Linked DNA regions of Tamandua tetradactyla. Each later gene encodes a partner of the first gene's protein in a complex. Links are inferred from orthologs where the notes say so. Each region holds a gene or a part of one and is shown in the gene's direction. Other genes may lie near its edges.

Region 1 (9,966 bases):
ATGGTGAGGAAGTTTCCTTCTCATCCTATCTTTTGAAGTGTTTTATCAAGGAAGGATACTGGATTTTGTCAAATGCTCTTTTTGCATTAATTGTGATGGTCCTGTGGGTTTCCTCCTTCAATTTGCTAATTGATTTTTTTGTGATGCACCAGCCTAGCTTATCTTGGCTAAAACCTACTTGATCATGATGTATAATTATCTTAATGTGTTGTTGGATTTGATTTCCAGGTATTTTCTTGAGGATTTTTGCATCCATATTCATTACCGAAACTGGAATATAATTTTCTTTCCTTGTAGGATTTTATCTGGCTTTAGTATTAGGGTGAAGTTGGCTTCATAGAATGAGTTAGAGAGTGTGCTCTCCTCTTCAATTTTTTTTTTTTTTTTGCGAGTCTGAGCATGGTTAGTATTAATTCTTCTTTGAATGATTGGTAGAATTCACCTGTAAACCGATCTGATTCTGGGCTTTTCTTTGTTGAGAGTTTTTTGATGACTGACTCAATCTCTTGTTGAGGTCTTCTATTTTTTCTAGTGTCAGTGTAGTCATTCATGTGTTTTTAGGAATTTGTCCATTTCATCTAGGTTGTCTAATTTGTTAGCATACAGTTGTTCACAGTATCCTCTTGTGATCCTTTTTATTACTGTGGGGTCAGTAGTAATGTCCCCATCTCATTTCTGATTTTATTTGCATCTTCTCTTTTTCTTGTCAGTCTAGCTAACGGTTTTTAAATTTTATTGATCTTCACAAAGAACCGAGTTTTGGTTTTGTTAATTCTATTTTTTTTTCAATTTTATTGATTTCTGCTCTAATCTTTGTTATTTCTTTCCTTCTGCTTGCTTTGGGATTAGTTTTCTGTTCTTTTTCTAGTTCCTCCAGCTAAGCAGTTAGGTCTTTGATTTTTTTTTTTTTGCTTTTTTAATTTTTTTAAATACCAAAAAACACCAAACAAATGGAAACGTTTGTAACTCCTGATCATTCTGTTCTACATATACAATTAGCAATTCACAATATCATCACATAGCTGCACATTCATCATCATGATTATCTCTTGGAACATTTGCATCTATTCAGAAAAAGAAATAAAAAGAAAACAGAAAGAAATTAATACATACTATGCCCCCACCCCTCCCCTTCATCAATCACCAGCATTTCACTATAAATTTATTTTAACATTTGCTCCCCCTATTATTCATCTTTATTCCATATGTTTTACTTGTCTGTTGATGAGATAGATAAAAGGAGCATCAGACACAAGGTTTTCACAATCACACAGTCACATTGTGAAAGCTATATCATTATACAATCATCTTCAAGAAACATGGCTACTGGAACACAGCTCTACATTTTCAGGCAGTTCCCTCCAGCCTCTCCATTACATCTTGACTAACAAGGTGATATCTACTTAATGCATAAGAATAACCTCCAGGATAACTTCTCGACTCTGTTTGGAATCTCTCAGCCATTGACACTTTGTCTCATTTCACTCCTCCCCCTTTTGGTGGAGAAGGTTTTCTCAATCCCCTGATGCTGTAGGTCTTTGATTTTATCAGTTTCTTCTTTTTAAATATAGGATCTAAATTTTGCTCTGAGCACTGTGTTTGCTGCATCCTATAAACTTTGATATGTTGTGTTCTGGTTTTCATACATTGCGAGATATTTACTGATTTCTCCTGAAATTTCTTCTTTGACCCTCTGATCATTTAGGAGAGCATTGTTTAACCTCCATTATTTGTGAATTTCCAGCTCTCCACCTGTTAGGGATTTCCAGCTTTTCTTTTTATTTTGGCTAGAGAAAGTGTTTTGTATAACTTCAATCTTTTAAAATTTGTTGAGACTTGTTTTTGAACCAACATGGGATCTATACTGGAGAATGATCCATGATCACTTGAGAAGAATGTATATCCTGCTGTTTTGGGGATGTAATGTTCTGTAAATGTCTGTTAGGTCTAGTTCATTCATCATATTATTCAAGTTCTCTGTTTCCTTATTGATCCTCTCTCTAGATGTATTGAAGTCTCCAACTATTATTGTCAGGACATCTATTTCTGCCTTCACATTTGCCGGTGTTTGCCTCATATATTTTGGGGCACCCTAGTTAGGAGCATAAATATTTATGATTGTTATTTCTTCTTGGCGGATTGCTCCCTTTATTAATAAAGTGTCCTTCTTTGTCTCTTATAACAGTATTACATTTAAAATCTATCTGAACAGTATTAGTATGGCTACTCCAGCTCTTTTTTGGTTATTCTTTGCACGGAGTATCTTTTTCCAACCTTTCACTTTAAACTTATCTGTATCCTTAGATTGAAGGTGAGTCCCTTGCAGACAGTATATAGATGAATTACATTTTTAAAATCCTTCTGCCAATCTGTGTCATTTGATTGGGGAGTTTAATCATTAATATTCAATGTTATTACTGTAGTGGCAGTACTTTAACCATTTTATGCTTTGGTTTGTGGATATTGAACACAACCATTAATTACATTTGCAGCCTTAATTCCTATTTGCCATGCAACCAAACATATTCACACTTTCCAGAGATTAGGATGGGGACACGTTTGGAGGGCCATTACTCTGTCTACTACACACTCCTGCCCAAAAGTCTAGATTGAGGGTTTGCATATAGTCAGTAGGGGGTGACAATAAATGTGAAATGCTCTTTGGAATTAAAAAACTCCGGTCAATATATGGCCGCCCTGTGTGATCTTTGGTTAATTACTTGAGTCTTAGTATCCACATTTCCACTAAAATGGAAATTGCTGTGTTTGCTCTGCTTGTTAAATGAAATAATTATGTAAAAGGACCTAGTTTAGACTGACAAATAGTAAGGGCTCAGAAGTTCTTGATGAATCTTCATAAGGAGGGTGGGCGAAATTCTCTGAAAGACATCTGGAGACAGTTTGAGAGATTTCTGGAGAGCAGTGAGTGAGAAGCACCCACCCTTGAGGAGATCAAAAGGAATCAAGTTCCACGGAAGAAGCTCTTGAATTGTTTTGAGGCTGAGATGCCCAGATTAAAAAGGGCAAAGCTAAAATGTTCCTTAGAAGACACCCACATGCAAAGTGGTTGTTTAGTAGTACGAACTGAAGGGGGGATCTGTGGGGTCTTTGGAGGAAAAGATTACATTTTGTGAAATCCCATGCCACTTAGTTCAATGCCACGCATACCGTAGTTTGTACCATTACCAAGTGAATTAGATTTAAAAGGTAACTGGGGGGAAAAAAAAAAAGCAGACGCCACAGGTTCCACCGAGATTTGAACTCGGATCGCTGGATTCAGAGTCCAGAGTGCTAACCATTACACCATGGAACCGCCAGACGCCTTGTTGCGCTTTCAGATTTCTGAAGGTTAGTAAACCCCGCCCCACCACTACGTTGAAGCTTGTCTGATGCGTTCTCAGAGCTTGGAGTCCTGCTTGGCAGCGCGAGTTGGGGCAAGAATAAACGAGAAGTTACTAAGAGCATGGTCAGTTGGGAATCTAGGACTCATCTTCCCATATCAGCCTCCTTGAGGACGCTGTGACTTCAACGAACAACCCGATGCAAATGCTTGCAGCCCTGCGGGACTCGGAGGTGGGGCGCCAACTCCCCGGAAGTACTTCCCCTGAGGGGCTGGGGCTGCCGGAAGTGGCGCACGGCAGGGAGGGGCACTTCACCGGGTCCGGCGTCTGAAGCTCGGAGCTCGGGTTACCCCTGCAGCGACGCCCCCTGGTCCTACCGATACCGCTCCTGCTCCCGCCCCTTCAGACTCGGCCGCGCAATGGGCACCCGCGACGACGAGTACGACTACCTCTTCAAAGGTGAGCCTCTGGGCTTTGGCACCCTACAGTGTGTCCCCGTTTGGGGGCCCGGGACACTCCCCGGGGATCCGCGCGCGGGCCATCCCGGCACCGAAATGGGGCCTGCCTCAGCCCTTCCCTTCTGAGCAGTGCTTCCTGCCATCTTCCAGCTCAGTCTCTTCTCTCCTCAGACTGGGGGTCGCCACCACACCCCATTTCATAGCGACCTTCTCGTAGGCCCTCGCTAGCCTCAGAGCCCCTCATTGTGTGTCCTTCTCACGGCGGACTGCATTCTCCCAATTCGTCGTCTTCATTCCTTTTCCCGGGTTTATAGCTCCTTCCAAGGCCCCGCCGCCCCCCTCTCCATCTATCTTTTCTGACTTAGCGCCCCCCTCGCCCTCTTCACATCCTCTCTAATGAGTCCCTCTGACAGGCCCTCCCTCTTCCCTTTTCGCCTTTCCTTAGGCCCAGAGACTCCTACTACGGGTCGTTCTCTCATCTGGTACCCTTTTCTCCCGAGAGAGCCTCTCCTCTCTGTTTCCTCGCAGCCCCTCCTCTGGAACGGACTCCCCTCCTAGCCGACTGCTCCAGGCTCGGGGTCCAGGTCCTGATAACATCTGAGTGAGCCAGTGGCCCCCACCCCCACTTGTTCCGCTGTTCTCGCGGTCAGTAACCTTCCCCGATCGCCCCCGAGGGTTGGCAGCTCTTTTTCTACCTTCCCTCGCAAATGTTGATAGGTCCCGCGGCTCCAGTGCGACCCCGGGGTGGGGGTTGGGGAGACAAGAAAGAATGTCCATCACCCACGCGCGAACTTGTCGCAGTGACCCGGCAGGCTGATGTGACTTCCCACCTTGCCGGTTTTTTTTTTTTTTTTTCTTGCCGTCCCTTCCCAGCGGCATCTAGCCTGGGATAACTCTTAACTCTGCTAGTGAGAAGGGGTTGCGGATGGGTGGTGGCTGTTATCCTTGCCAGACCTGAAGGCCCAGTTCCTGAGCAGGAAAGGTTGTGCGCTGCACAAACACTGGCTTGCTTTATCGCAGTGGTCTGGTTGCTTCCTGCTGCAACACTGGGAGGATCCAGTCTTCTGGTGTTTTAGAACAGGAAGGGAAGAGTCGGAGTTGGCCCCATACCTTTCCCAAAAGGTGGTGGTGGGGGGGAATGGGTGTGTGCTCTTTTGCACATATTAACTATTATAAAACAGGGACATATGTCAGTGCCTTTGGACAAAATATATTGGAGAGTGGGGGTTCAATAGAATTGTTTATTGGTTAGTCCAGAAAGAATCCCAACAGTTTTTTTTTTTTCCTTAATCAACAGAGATAAAGGGTAGAGTTTGCAGTTAGAAGAGGGTATAGTAATTGCCTCCCCCTGTGTTTTTCTTTTGGTTGTTGTTCAATGAATCTCTCTCTGCTGCTGCTCTTTTTCTGCTCCTGAACTAGGAGGGCAGCCATCAGTAATGTGCTGAACAAAGATCATTACCAGGGAGGAAGAAGCCAGAGCTATTAAAGCTTTACAGTGGAGGGTGGAGTTAAAAAAGAGTGTTAGGCTTTATGACTGTTTGTGACTTTGCCATTGGGCGCTAAGAATGATTGACTAAACAAAGCAGGAAAGGTTTCTTTACCAGTACTTTGCAAATCTTACTATTACTAGCTGCTGATATACCCTTGTCATCACTTGCTCCTCTGAGCTGGTGTATTTATATAGGGCGCACACCTTCAAAATCTACCCCCATTCCCATACTGGCAAGGCATTTACAGAGAAGAGGATACTTAATGCCTTTTAGAAATATAAAAAGAAAACCTGTATTAGTTTATATACTGTTTGTTGAAGGCATCTGAGATTATGTGAAATTACTTAAGACAGTCCCTGGAAACTTTTAGGTTTCGTCACTAAAAGGAGGTTTGCTTTTCAAATAAAGTATAATGGCAGTGGGCAGCTTAATTAATTAAATTAATTAAATTTATAATTAATGAGAGAAACTGACCGGGTACTTCTCCTGTTTGGTTTGGAGTTTGAACATTTGTTATTAAAGTCTTTTTATATTTTCATTAAGAATATTATCCTGAATTGTCTTAAGGGCTTTAAACTTTTGATATAAATTTAAACATATATATATATAACTTTTGATATACCTTTGGAATTAGACCACCTATCTTGAGAGCATAGGGGTTTAGAATCAGGCAGACTTGGATTTAAATGCTGACTCAGGTCTTTTATTTGCTCTGTGACCTTGGGAAAGTTAACGTTTTTTTGAGCCTCAATTCCCTCATCTATAAAAAGGAAACAATACTTACGTCTTGGGTCTACTGTAAGGATTAAATGAGGCTCTTGTTAAAATTTTAGCTTCTATGAAGACTCAATAAGTGATAATCATGTGAAAGAAGTTACTGTAGTTCTTGTCAGTTTTTTAACGTTAAATTGTTATAGATACAAGAGCATTTAAATATTAATAAAGAAACTTAAAATTAGGAACTTCTTAAGTATTTTACTTTTCCACGGGTTCAGGTTTCATTTTGTTATATATTTTTAGGGAGTTAAAAAAATTCTACTGAGATGGATTTCCACTTTTTAAAGGCTCTTATGGGATATGAATCATCTTATTTACTTCATTGCTGATTATTTAGCCGTATTCTTATTTACGCAGTTACCCTATTTTAAAGTAAAACAAGAATAATTTCATTTTAGAATGTTTTCATTCTACAGAGATTCATTCATTCAGAAGAGCTGCGGCTATCTCTACTTGGAAGAAAACTTATTTAGTAAACTTGAAATAGTGAGGGAATTGGAAGATAGTTTGTAACTCTAACCAGTTGAAAATCAGGAGATTTTAATTAAGATAGGATGGAGTGGTCCAAATGGGAATGTTACGTGGGGAGAGCAGAACAATTTTTCTAAATTATGTATCTGTTCTTGAACATTGATTTTTAATTAAGCTCAACAGTGAGGTGTTTTGTGAGGGGGAAATTAGTTTTATTTTTAAAAACTTGTCTTTTTCTTTTACAAATTTTAATTCTACAGGTGTTTACATGCAAATGTGGTTAAGGCCTGGTGGGGGCACATAAGTGAAGTAAGCATCAATCATAGTTCCTGTTTATAAATGTCACAGTGGATATACACCAATCCAACCGAAGTCACATATCTGAAAATATGTGCATATATAGTCTGTTGTTTCCAGCGTTTTCAGTTGTAATTAACCATTTGCTGATTGTAGAAAGGATCATTGGAACTTTGCTGTCTTGCATCTTGGTAGTTTTTCTTTCACAACTTTTGGTTGGGCAACTTAGAGTCTGCTGAATCTGGAAAAACTTGTCTAAACTTCAGCCTTATTGAATGCATTTTATTTTAAAAGTCTTTTGGTAAGGTTGGACTGTGAAGACGGTTGAAAGTGTAGAAACATCTCCAAGTTCATTTATGAAAACTATTTTAAAAATTGTTAGCCATTCCTTCAGGTGGTAGGTAACTTTTAGAACTGATATACTGCAACTGATGTACTGAATGAAATTTGAATCCAGTAGATTAATAAGGCAGTATAAAACTAAATGTGGTTGAGAAGGGGAAATCGTTGTTAAATAATGGATAATTATTATATTTTGTGCTTTTATGGCTTTTAGCCACCTGATGTTTGATATATATTATGGACAAAAGTTAGTATTAGGTATTAGGGATGATATTTAAAATTTGTCAGATAAGTTAACCAGGTAGTGATATATCCTATTGGATTATTTTAGAGATGCTATGAATGTTTAACATATAGATGCTATTTTTAAATTTGTTTATATCATTTAGTATATTAATATTTTATAAATGCTTATAGTTATAAAATGTCTAAAGTGGAAGTACTTTTAACCTAAGATATTAATTATGGAAAACATAGGAAAGTCACTGCAAATTCCCTTTTGAACTACAGGATTTGATCTTCTATTTCTTACATTTTTAAGAAGCAATTAAATATTGCCATCTCAATGACAGAATCTATTCTGACTAGGCATTATTTAAATTTGAGTCCATGAAAGGAGGGTTCATGGAGGTTTTTATTTAAATTATAGCCAGTAAATTATTTTATGTTGTTTAAGTAATATAATTCATTCTAGTTTTTTAAAAATTACTTTTATTTCAGTAAGCCTAAATGTAACCTTCCTTTTTGATTTCTCATTTGGTAACTGAATAGAAACAGCTTTCTATTTTGTATCATTTCTCAGCATCTTGTTGGCAGCACTCTTCTTATAGAACCAGTATCTTCTGTTATCATTTAAGATATAATCCTTTAACAAAATGCTACTCTTAATTCTGGTAATCTTGTCTGTATAGTTGAGATAAGTATACTGTATAAAGCATTCACTGCTGTTTTAATTTCATGGGCTATAGTAGCCTAAATTATGAGTCTTGAATTATGTTCAAATAAGGGTACTGTTTGTATATTAGAATCAATTGGTTACATGGGGGTGGATTCCATCATAATTATCTTTATGATGGCAAAAAGATTTGAGGATAAGAAGATAATGAGCATAATCATTAGTTAAAGTGGAGGTCAAAAGGAAAGAACTTGAAACTGCTAGAGTTTTCATGGAACAGTTAAGGATGTTCTTTGAGATTCCCCCCCCCCCCCCCCCCGCCCAAAGATGTTATTTTGAACATCTTGCTCATGCACTTTGGCTTTAAACTAAGTGAAATTCCTGAATTACGGATTTATATCAGAGTTCCTATGAATTAGAAATATTGTAACTTTTTGGCTTTTCTCTTCTTCCCTCTTCTCACCTTAAGTTGATTTTTTTACTCATTCTTAATGTGAGCGTGGAGCCAGAAGTGATTCAAAATTCATCTAAGTAGAACTTCAAGCTTTTTGTACTAAGAAGCAGCAGGAAGTATATCCTACTAATGGGAAACTCTTACTGAAACTGGGATTTGACTCATGTCAAATGATGACCTTGGAAACTAATATATCAGCCAACAATCCTATAAAATTGAAAGTAAATTGTTTTTGTATGTTACTTTGATGACTGACATTTTCTCTGATATTCAAGTAAAAGCATTTGATAAATGTTTGTTTGACACAACACCTTTGACACCCTCTAATTGAGTATGTAGTTAGAAATAACTACCCTGTATTGAATGGAGTCACTTCTGCCTGGATGATTTCTTGCTGAATCAGCTGCAGAGTAAGCCAGAAAGATATGTGTTTGATAATGTTCTGCCTCCAAGACTGTCCAGAGGCCAGTTTATATCCGATCCTGTGGTGGACTACAAAATGGACTCTTTTTGCCCACTGACCAGAAAGCAGTGAGCTCTCACAGTTTCTACCTTCCTCTCTGACCTCATCTCCAAATCCCAGTCACTTTAGTAAGGCATTCTTTTATTCCTTAGGTTTTTCTTGCATGTTTGATTTTCAAGTCCTGGAGTCTAAGTCAGTTAGCTAGTTTAGATAGTAAGAGAAAGCATTAGTAATCAACAGCCAGAATAAGTATAATGACTTTCTTGAAATGCTGATATAAATTTTACAGACAGTAGAAAATGTTATATAGCTCAGATTCTATAAACCTGTAAACTCATTTTGTTTTAAAATTCAGATAGAAAATGCTTTAAAGTGGTTTGTCTTAATTGCCTATATCCCAATTGTTTTTCAAAGTGTAATAATGCAGTGGATGAAAAATAATCTCCATGTATTTAGTTAAATAAGCTAACTCTTATGGTAATCAGAGAAAGAAATCTATCCAATCAAAACCTGTTTTTATAATATTCATGAAGTCTTGAGTGAAAGTGTATGCCCTCCTTGTGTTGGTCTTGACTCAGTGAAAATATAGCTTCCAAGGCCCCCGTTTATCCTTAGTGTTTTTTGTTTGTTTGTTTTTGTTCCTAGGTTCCTGGCAGTGTGATGAATGCAACAATTAAGGGGTCATTGTAGTTTCTGTGATTTGGGTGGGGTATTTTATAAGCCTAATGCCTCATTTAAATGTGTTTCATTTTTGCCAAGGTGTGAGTCCTGAGGTCACACTTAGTCTTTGATGAAACTAAGTAGAACATGTTATTCTCTCCCTCTTCACCTACTGAGTTGTTGTTTTCATTCTGATACGTTTTAATATCACATTGTTTGGTTGGCAAATTATCTTTTAAAGTATCACCTTTTAACGTAGTACGGTTGGCAGCATTGATGGTAATTCATGCATTAGCCTGTCCTCTGTTCTTACTGGAC
Region 2 (9,966 bases), on another chromosome or scaffold:
AAATGGATTAAATGGAAACAAAATGATATATGGGCTTGAAGTCTGGCAGCAGTTGCTGAGGGCCAGTCTACTCTTATAGTTGTACCTGAATTGTTGGTATACGTCACTGTTACCTGTTCATCATATTTCTTTGGGAGAGTATACAGGTTTAAAGTTGTGACAGTTTGCTGGGTGCAGAGGGAGCAGATATGGCCTTGGCATCCATGGGAGTTTTTTTCTTTATTTGTGGGAGTTGTCTCCATCCTCTGAACTCTTCTACACTGGAGGTTTCTTCTCAGAAGCTGCTTCTTCAGTTGACTTAGGTTGTGCCTGAGCTACATGCCTCTGCTCCAAGAGTAGATGGCCTTTTGTGGGAGCAGTTGGTTGGGTCACCATGATAATGTGGAAGAGCTTACAGACATTCATTGTCTACCTTAAAATACCTTTGTCTGTATAAGTTCATGTCTGTTTCCAAGCCTTTGGGCTCTTCCTTTGTCTAAATCCCGCCATTCTCATTCAGGACCTAAAACTTTTGGCCTGTTGTATGTCGAAATAAATTCATCAGGCTTATTGCCTCGGAAATAAGTTCTATATTCTACTATGAACTGATGAATGACTTTTAATAAGCATACCAGAACTTTCATGTCTAAATAAGTGTTACTGTTCAATTAAATCATTTTAGGATGATTCTAACAATACAGTCGTTGCTCAAGAAGTTTTGAAACATCTCTTACTGTTTTGAAAACCATTTTATAAGTCACACTTGAACCAGAGAAGTTCCATTTGTACAATTAAATAACTCTGTTGAAGATTTCTATGGGCCAAGTAGTGTACCAGGGCTGGGAATCAAAAGAATGATTAATTCTCAGTGTCTGCTCTCATGGAGCCTACATTTTGCTTGAGATAAATGTGTAAGTGGCACAGGGATGAGCCAGGTTACGCTGGCATGTCATGAGAAACAAGAAAGTCTGCAGGAGAGGGAGGGGAAGTAACATATATGGGGAATGAGTATGGAAGGAAGGTTAGGGAAGGCTTAAACCATAACAAGTGAGTAGGATTTCAAGAGGATTCAGGCGGGCCACGGTGACTCAGCAGGTAAGAGTGCTTGCCTGCCATGCCCAAGGACCTGGGTTCAATTCCTGGTACCTGCCCATGTAAAAAAAAAAAAAAAAAAAAGAGGGATTGATGGGAGAGACTAATAATACCCTTCCAGGGAGAGGCAGCAGTATAAGCAACAATATTTTGAAAATCTAGGGGCTTGTTCAGGAAATAACATTTCACTGGCTTAATGTTCCCTGCAGTGACAGTTCTCCTGGACAAGCCCAGCAGAAACACTGGCACTGTGGGCCTTTGCCAGGTGAGTCTAGAGGGTTGATGCTGGCTTAGCTGGAGTCTACCAGAGGAGCTGGGAGCAACTATAACCCAGAGATAGGAATATATTGTGGCTCCAGCAATACTGGTCACAGGGGTCTAGCAGGAAGTTAAAGACTAGGACGAGAGTTGGCAGCAGGATTGCAAGGCAGGTGCTGGGGAATTTTTTTGTTTAAAAGCTGAACGCTGTGAACCAGGTTAGAGTCACAGGACTTGTGCTTACTTAGGCTGACACTGGTACAAGCAGGCACATCATAAACTTCAGAATGAAAGAGAGAGAGAGGAAGTAGCTGGTAGCAGGTCAGACCCCAGAGGGCCTTGAATAACAGACTACAAAGTTTGGACTTACTGATTTATAGGTGCTTTGTGAATAATAGATATTAAACTTGTCTTCTGTAGGTTTGTGAATGTTTCTCCTCAGTCATTTATTTATGGAAAACTTTTCTGAAAAATGAATGTTGTCAAATCCATCAGTCTTTTTCCTTTATGAAGTGTTGAGACATTCAAATTCTTGCAAATGAAGTATTTTTGGAACCCAACAGTCTTGACACTTATTTAGTGATTCAGTAAATCAGCCAGTATTAAAGTATGTAGCTAATGTGTTCTGTTCTTCCCTATTACACTCTAATTCTTCCCTTCCCCACCCCGTAATTCCATTTTGAACTCCAGTATGTCACTGCATTCATTCATGGTTGTGGCTTTTATAGGAAACTGAGTATCATTCGGTTGGAAAGCCAAGCAGCTGACCAGCCTCTTCATAACCCTTTTAAGCTCTTTGAACAGACTAGGTGCTTTTTCTCTATAAAATGACTCTTAGCCCAAGTTACGGTCTTCAAACACGTTCTGCTTCAACTGAGGTGTGTTGAGCACCTGAGGTGTGTTAGTAGACGCTAATCCCTCTTCCCCACTAAGCGGTGTGATCTTGAATTTGCCACTTAACCTTTTTGGTCTCATCTCATTTCAAATACAAGAGCCAGTCGTCTCTTTTTAATGCTTCTCTCATCACGGTTCCTTGGTTCCATGATTCTTCTGAATTTCAGCTTAGGGCTATGTTTGCTACTTTGGTTTTCTTGCCTATCATTTTCCTCTTCTAATCTTCTATCTTTGAGCCTCTTATTTGAAATCCCTTCAAGGCAGGCAGTTATTCCTGTGGATGCTTCTCTTTGTTTCTGCAGGCTTTTAGATATGTCTGCCTCATTTCCTGGACTCTTGTCTTTTGCAGCTGAAATTAGAAACCCTTAGAAGCATAACGGATGCTAGAATCTCATGAAGTAACAGCCCTGAAATATCCCAAGTCTACTGGCAGAGAGTCTGGCTATAATTCCAGTGACAGCTCTTGATTGCTCCCTGTGTAGGTAATCACATTGGTCCCCTATTTCTCATAGACTTGAGGATGGCCTCAGTGCATTCTCATCTCTTTGGCCAGGCCCTTTTGTTTCCTAGCCCCATCCCCCCCCCCCCGCTTTTTTTTTTTCCTTAACCTTTTAGTGTGTTATTTTTTGAAGTTTTGGAAAACTTCTAGTATAAGCCTATATGCAGATCGGAGTTTAAATCTGCAGAAGCTGCAAGCAAATACTGAACAGAAGTCTAGAGGTGCTGAGCTACCTATAAAAGGGTGTGGTGTTAAATCAGGTAGCTTTAGGACTTGTGGCTCATTTGATAAACAAATGGCTGCCCAAAGCCTCCTGCAGGATCAGAGAAGAGAAGCAGCCTGGAACCATGGAGAATAGGCAGGATAGGAGCCAGATTTGGGTTTGTTTGAGGGCTCTCAGTAGCTTTTAATTTTAGGTACATCCCTTAATTTCTGTCCATACCTACTTCATCTATCTGTAAATGGCCACAAAGGGCTGTCCTCAAATAGCATCCTAAGATGGGTAAAATTTGTTAATGCCCTAAGAGACTTCTCAGATAAAGTTGTAAATACCTTGAGAGGAGAGAGCTTATATCACTCTGGGTTGAGGAGGGGAATATATAACATTTGTATTACTAAATACTCATTGATAAATCAAAGTTGTTAACTGGATCACTAGATATTTAGTGCTTCCTGTGCAAACCTTCAGTGCATTGGTGGTTGAGGCCTTTGTTACAGCTTCTTTTGAACAGGTGGCAGGTGGCTGCAGTGGGTCCAGATGCAAGGGTGGGGCTGTCGCCCTTCCCTGTCTTTAGTTGGGGTCCCCAATAACTGCAGGGGTAATTCCCTTTTGCTGGTGGCACAGGAATACACAGGCGCACACCTCCTATCTGATTTGAAAGTCACTTCCTCATAGAAACATTTATACTAATCCTAAGTAGGTAGGCTGTTTGGGTTGCCCTGGGAACCTACCACTTCTAGGATGTTTTTCTATAGAAAAAGTGAATTCTGTGTTCCAGACTTAGAACTTAGAACACATTTTTTTAAAAATATTGGTAAAGGGAACCCTTATTTTAATTTGAGGAGGATGTGGGGCCATATTAGAGGGGACTTGGCGCTACAATGAGGCTTCTTTGGGATGGATCCAGGAGGCAGTTATGTGCTGCTCCGTACTACCCAGCAGGTCAGTTGTGGAAGGCTGCAGTATGAAAGGTACTAGGGTGCCACTGGGCTTTGATTTTTGAAGTAGCAATTTTGAATCCTTAGTTTTAAAAAAAACAAAACCTCAAGAACTATAACAAAAGGAGTCAGAAAGCAGCCTCAGAAAACTCACGTCTGGTGGAATGGTGGTGATTTCACAATTGGGTGTGAATGCCGAGGGTAACAGCATGTGCTTGTTGGTGTTTGAATCTCAGATGGATGTGGGGAAAACTTGATAAGGGATATTAGTTAATACCCTCTAGCTGTCTTTCCTGGCATCCCTGTGGGTGGGTGACCTTCCCACTATCATGGTCAGACCCCAGAGTCTGTCCTCAGCTTGTGCCCCTGCTAGTTTCCCTCCGAGGGCAGACTTGGATTAGTTTTATGCATCTCCCTCCATGAAGAATGGTTCCTATGACTGGGGCCTAAGATACACATAAAATTTTTTTTAAAGGATATTAAAAAAGAAACTCATGACTTCCAGAAGATTACTTTGCCAGAGGAACTGGCCACGAATAATGGACGTATTAGGGAGACTTTCCCCTCAAATGTTACTACCAGGACAGGGAGCAATGGAAATCAGTTAAGAAGAATCTGTTGGACACTGATGTATGCCTCCTACTGCGTGGAGGATTTTGGAAGAATGAATGAGGAATATACAAGCCCTGTTCAAAAAGAAGTTTATAATATAAATGGGTAGATAAGATAGAATAAGCAAAACAGGGTGAACAAGACAATATGAAAAGTATTTCTGTACTACAAATCATTTTAGAAGGGGAAATATAAATTATACATTTATGAATGCAGAAGTTTTAATGGCAGTGTGCTCTCAAATCTATAATTCAGACAGCTAAAGAAAATTATTTATATCTGAAGTACAGTTCAAGCTAGTCCTTGAAAGACGGTGAGATTGAGTTGTGCAGAAAGGATATGTCAAAATGTAGATTTTTAAAAAATTTATTGCTCTAGCAGTTTTATTCTTAATGAGCTAACCTGGGATTAAACAGAACACAATTCTTGTCCTAACGATTTTTGAAGTTATCTGAAAAATATTTTGTCTCTGTGATTTCACCAGGGTTGCCACTTGTACATGAGCTGTGTCTGTAGTGGTGATAAATGGATTTATTTTTCTGAGGTGTATGGTAACTATTCCCACAGATACCTGCCAGGCAAAGCGTCCTGGGGCTCACTCCTGAACTCTCACCTTTATCTTGTTCGGAAACTTTCAGTAGCTCCCTATCATAAAGTCCTCTCTCCTTACCCTGGTGTTGGGGTCTTACGTGATCTGTCTGTATTCCTGACTTTCTATGTTTTTATTCCATCTTCTTTATAGCAGGCTCTCCTCACCGCAGTTCCTGCTGCTGTATATTACGCAGGGCTCCTTTTCCTAGTGTCTGCATGTTCACACTTTGCGTATTCTTCAAAGCTCTACTCAGATATCACTGCTTCCATGAAGCCTTCTTTAATCTGTCTAGCTAAGGGAGTCCTGTTGCTGCCGAGTATCTCTGGCACCAGCCTCCACTGCTTTTGTGGCCCTTGCCTGGTAGCTTTCTTCTTATGTTGTTAGTTTATGTACAAGTTTTTCTTGTCCCCAATGGAGAGAAGGCAAAATTCCCAAGCCTTTCTGGTCTTGGTTTGCCTGCACCTAGTATTACTGTACTTTCCGCACAGGAGGCTTTACCTCTGGAGAAAGGTGTCTGATAAGTCACAGCTGGCAGCCTCCAAGTATTACCTTGTGCTTCATTACTTGGTCCTTCAGCCCTGCCTTATAAACACCTGGGCCTCTCTTGTTACCTCTTACATGATCGCTTGGTGGATTTTGCATGTTTGCATAGATGACTGACACATGCAAACAAGTACGGTATTCTTTAAACATTCTGCTTTATAACAAAATTTCTGATTTGTTTTTTGGCCAGGGTAGAGTCTTCTAGAGCGGGTAGGGCAGCAAACAGCAATTATTAAAAACACACTGCAAACATCAAATTCCTACCTGGTTGTAGTTTAAGCATGTTCTCATATTCTTGCTGGGAGTAAGTTGAAATACTGGGATGGCACAGAAGTGCCAGCTGTGCCTTTGTTGTGGTTTCTTTTCATGATTCCCTACTACTACCCGAGTCTGATTTGGGGAAACCAGTAGAGTGACCTCCTAATTTGGTTATCTGTGGCTGCATGCAAACCACCCTAACATTTAGTGACATAAAACAACAATTTGTTTTCATTTTTCATAGTTTTGTGGGTTAACTGGTCATAGGTGTTCTATTAGTTAGCTCCACTACTCTTCTGGCTTCACCCTCCACCTTAAGCAAAGAGTTCAAGATTAATTTCTTAAGCCTTACCTCCTTCTGTGAGTCTAGACTCAAACATCCAGCTGACTGTTGGCAGAGTCAGTGGTATGTCCCCAAACTTGGCATTTCCATAAGGGAATTCTTTTGGTATGAATGCAAGCATTATCTAATTTCTCTGACACCAGTGCTGGAGCAGTACATGGTGCAATAGTAAATTCTGAGTAATAGTTAATGAATTAATGAGTGAATGAACTCTTGTCAGGGTGTACCAATAGGGGGTGGATAAATTCCAGCACAAACACACACACACACACACACAAATGCACACATATACAAAAGAATACTAAAATGAGTGAACCAACTCTACATGTATCAACAAGATAAATGTCAGTGGTGCATGAAATATAATCAAGTTACAGAATATGCATGGTATGCTACCATTATCTAAAGTATACAACCAAATAATATTAGATGTATGGATGTATTTTTATGTGGTCAAAGTAAACATATGCATATGTGAGGGAATCGCTCCACTATCAAGTTAATGGATATCCATTGTCAAGTTAATGGCTGTCTTTTGGGATAGAGGAAGGGGTGACCTATGTAATGATGAAATAGCCTTCTCTGAAGAGAAGACTGGCCTTTTCCTTCAGCTACTGCAGGGTGATCTCTATGCCTGGTAGGTGTCTTTGTCTGGAAGCTTTTGCCACAGGGCAGCCTAACAATGTGATTTGTCATAGGACCTTTGGACCACACGATATCAATTCTGCCTCCTGCAGGGACTTGAGACTAAAGGTGTCAGCCTGACCTCTTAGAGTTGCTGGAGCCTAAAGATTAATCGATTGGGCAGTATTTGGTCCAAAGCTCTGGGCACCAAAGGCTCTGGTGAGCTTCCCTGGATGGCAATACTCTGTGAATATTGTCCTACGTAATGGCAGGTAGGAGTTAATGCTGTCCTTGACTTCATGGGAAGAGGACAACCCAGAGCTTTGCTAGTGAATTATTGGTGTTATTTACTTTTCAATCCAGATTTTCCATTTTGTTCTTCTTTGTAATTTCTATTTCTTCATTTATATTCTGTATTTTATGTGATGTTGTCAAACCATCTTTTGCTTTGCTTTCTTTACTTCTGTGAGCATTTTTACATCTGAAAGATTTTTTCTTTTCATTCTGACATCTGGTCATACTCACGGACAATTATACGTGCCTATATAGGTCATACTTTCCTGTTTGTTTGGTTTTTAACATGCCTTATAATTTTTTGCTTGAAGCTTGACATTTTGGATAATATACTGTAGCAACTATGGTTACTGATGCCCCTCTCCCTTCGGAGTTTATTGTAATTTGTTTAATTTCATGACTGGTTGTATTATTTTAGTGAGTCTATCATACCTCCCTCCAGAAGGGTTAAGCCCCTGCCACTCTGAGAAGGCTGCAAGTAATTTCTTCCTCTCTTTCCTTTATGACACCCAACTGTTAAACTGCTCATTGGAGACCACATTGCTCTATTGTTTTCAATGGTGTCTTGTGGCATAAATTCCTCTATTAATGCAATCAAAGTGTTTTTCTTTGAAGGGAGTAGTTTTTGAGGTCTGCGTTTGGTATCTGTTCTGACCCTAGGAAGACTTCTCCAAGTTTACCCTGATTCTCTCCTCCCTATGGCCAGCCTGTAGTCTATATCTTCATTAGATCCATACTGCTCCTCCAAATTGCTTTTCATCACTGCTCTCAACTGTTCTTGAGAGAGTCCTTAGGTTTAAACTATTCCATACTCTGTTGCAATGATGTCAGTTCATATGGAAGAGACTTGGAGCCATTTGTTGAGCCAGAGCTCTGGAGTTGGGTGGAAGTGTGGACCCTGCTAAGCCTTTTCTGAGTGGCACTCCTGCTCTAGTTGCTGAGTATTTAGTGGTGGGGGCAGCAGCCTGAGGTCCTCTGGCTTGCGTCTCTTAGTGTGGAACCCTTGCTTCATGAGCCAGGGGAATGGTTATCAGGGCCTGAGTATTGTCAACAATCCATGCTCAAGGCAGACCCTCCATTCCCCCGCTGTGGCTGAGTGTTTAAGGGAGCTCCCACCTTTTGATTGCACTTGCCTGGGACTTAGTCTCAGCAACAGATAGCTGGGGACAAAATGAGAAACACTGAAGTTCATCTCTTCCTGGGACCTGAGAGAGGAGAACCCTGTGTTCTTGGCTGCAGTATTCTGGAGTGGAGCTCTGCCTCACTGAGCCAGGAGGGGCATGGAAGGGGAGCAGTCTTGTTCATATACCATAGATTTTCTTACAGATTTTCATAGATTTTTTTTTTTTTTTTTTTTTTTTTTTTTTTTTTTTTTTTAGAAGGAAGGAAGGATAGAAGGAAGGAAGGAAGGAAGAAAGGGAAACATTTTTAAACATTTTCTTGTTTTATTGTATTCTGTTTCTCCGTTTTTGTTACATGGGCTGGGGCCGGGAATCGAACCGAGGTCCTCCGGCATAGCAGGCAAGCACTTTGCCCGCTGAGCCACCGCGGCCCGCCCAGATTTTCTTGAATAGATGTTTCTTCCTTTGCTATTTGTTCTTAGAACCATTTCTTGAGCCTTTAAATGATTGTGTTTCTGTAACTTTCACTAGTTTTCCTGGGGAGTAAGTAACTGAAACTGCTCATACTGTCATGTTGGAAGTCTTGGCTTCTATTTTATTGTGAGTGCATTCCTTTCCTGTCGGCATACTCTTGTGAAATGGTCTTTGTGCACTTTTTATGACTGATTATATCACCATATAACTTAGTTTCAATCAGTTTAATTATCCCAATTTCGTATTTTGTATGATTTCAAGGAAGCAATGAATTGTTGATATCCTTTGGAAAAATAACTGTATCAGATATTCTTTGTTTAGCTTTTGGGGGTGAGAATGGGACTGATTATTTCCTAGTCATCATTCCAGGTATTAGAGATTTAGATTAGATTTTTATGAAGTTCTGGAGAATATGATATGTAAATGCTTTCCCTGTTATGATTTTTTATTTTTCTATCAAAAATAGTGGAATGACCACTGACCATTCATAATGAATAAGCAGGTAAGTCTAGGAGAACTTGTGCATGTTATTTATTATGGGCAGAGGTACTTGGGCATTTCATGGTTCTGAACTAGATGATAGATAAAATGGACCAGAAGCTCTGGCTTGGAGTTAGAATTGGGCTGCAGTTCTGACTCTGAAGATTCGTGATTGGGTGATGTGGGAAAAGTCATTTAAACTGGGTGAGCTTCCCCTCTTCCTATCCTTTTTTTTTTTTTGTCTTTTAATTATTAGAGATGGAATCACACCTTATTTCTCAGAGGTGTATCAAACTAGATATATTTTAAAGTCATCTAATCTATAAACCAGTTTTGCTGACATTATCATCATGGCTGGCAACAAGATTCTATGGCAGTATGGATTTGGTTCACAAGTTCCCAAAGGTAGGGACATAAAGAACTTGAGAAGTCTGCAGCGAGGCAAGCAATTGCTGTAGGTGTTGTTTCCTGCCACTGAGGGTATTTGATACAAAATGGATAACCATTTTTCCTGCCAGAGACTGGGAAGAAAGAATTTGAAAACTGAGTAGGAAGTTGATTTCCAAAGACCTCTCCCACTCTAATGATGTGATTTAGGTTCTCTATGACCACAATTTTATATCTTCCAGTCCTCTATGAGGAATCGAAAACTTAAAAGATATAGAACAATAAAACTGGTTAAAGCTGAGTTTTAAAAAGCAGAATATAATCTCCGAGAAAGCTAAGAGAGGACTTAAATCCTGTA

Evidence for each region. Proteins that work in one complex are often made in the same cells at the same time.
Region 2: the proteins of RAB11A (region 1) and MYO5B are in contact, whole or in part, in a crystal structure (PDB 4LX0), measured with the Homo sapiens proteins. The link is inferred for Tamandua tetradactyla from reciprocal best matches to the Homo sapiens genes RAB11A and MYO5B. Residues at the interface, in NP_004654.1 of Homo sapiens: Leu11, Lys13, Arg33, Glu35, Ile44, Gly45, Val46, Glu47, Phe48, Ala49, Thr50, Gln63, Trp65, Glu71, Arg72, Tyr73, Arg74, Ala75, Ile76, Thr77, Ala79, Tyr80, Arg82, Gly83; in NP_001073936.1 of Homo sapiens: Ile1627, Gln1628, Gly1629, Leu1630, Trp1706, Met1710, Arg1713, Tyr1714, Ser1717, Gln1718, Glu1721, Arg1724, Gln1745, Leu1747, Gln1748, Leu1749, Lys1750, Lys1751, Glu1755, Ala1759, Leu1763, Tyr1779, Glu1786.

Annotation. Positions count from the first base shown.
Region 1 is NC_135340.1:82,870,365-82,880,330, forward strand, and holds the start of RAB11A (ras-related protein Rab-11A), read left to right. Parts: upstream 1-3,617; 5' UTR 3,618-3,760; coding exon 3,761-3,800; intron 3,801-9,966. UniProt on the Homo sapiens protein: The small GTPases Rab are key regulators of intracellular membrane trafficking, from the formation of transport vesicles to their fusion with membranes.
Region 2 is NC_135344.1:32,700,120-32,710,085, forward strand, and holds the start of MYO5B (unconventional myosin-Vb), read left to right. Parts: upstream 1-3,737; 5' UTR 3,738-3,839; coding exon 3,840-3,884; intron 3,885-9,966. UniProt on the Homo sapiens protein: May be involved in vesicular trafficking via its association with the CART complex. The CART complex is necessary for efficient transferrin receptor recycling but not for EGFR degradation.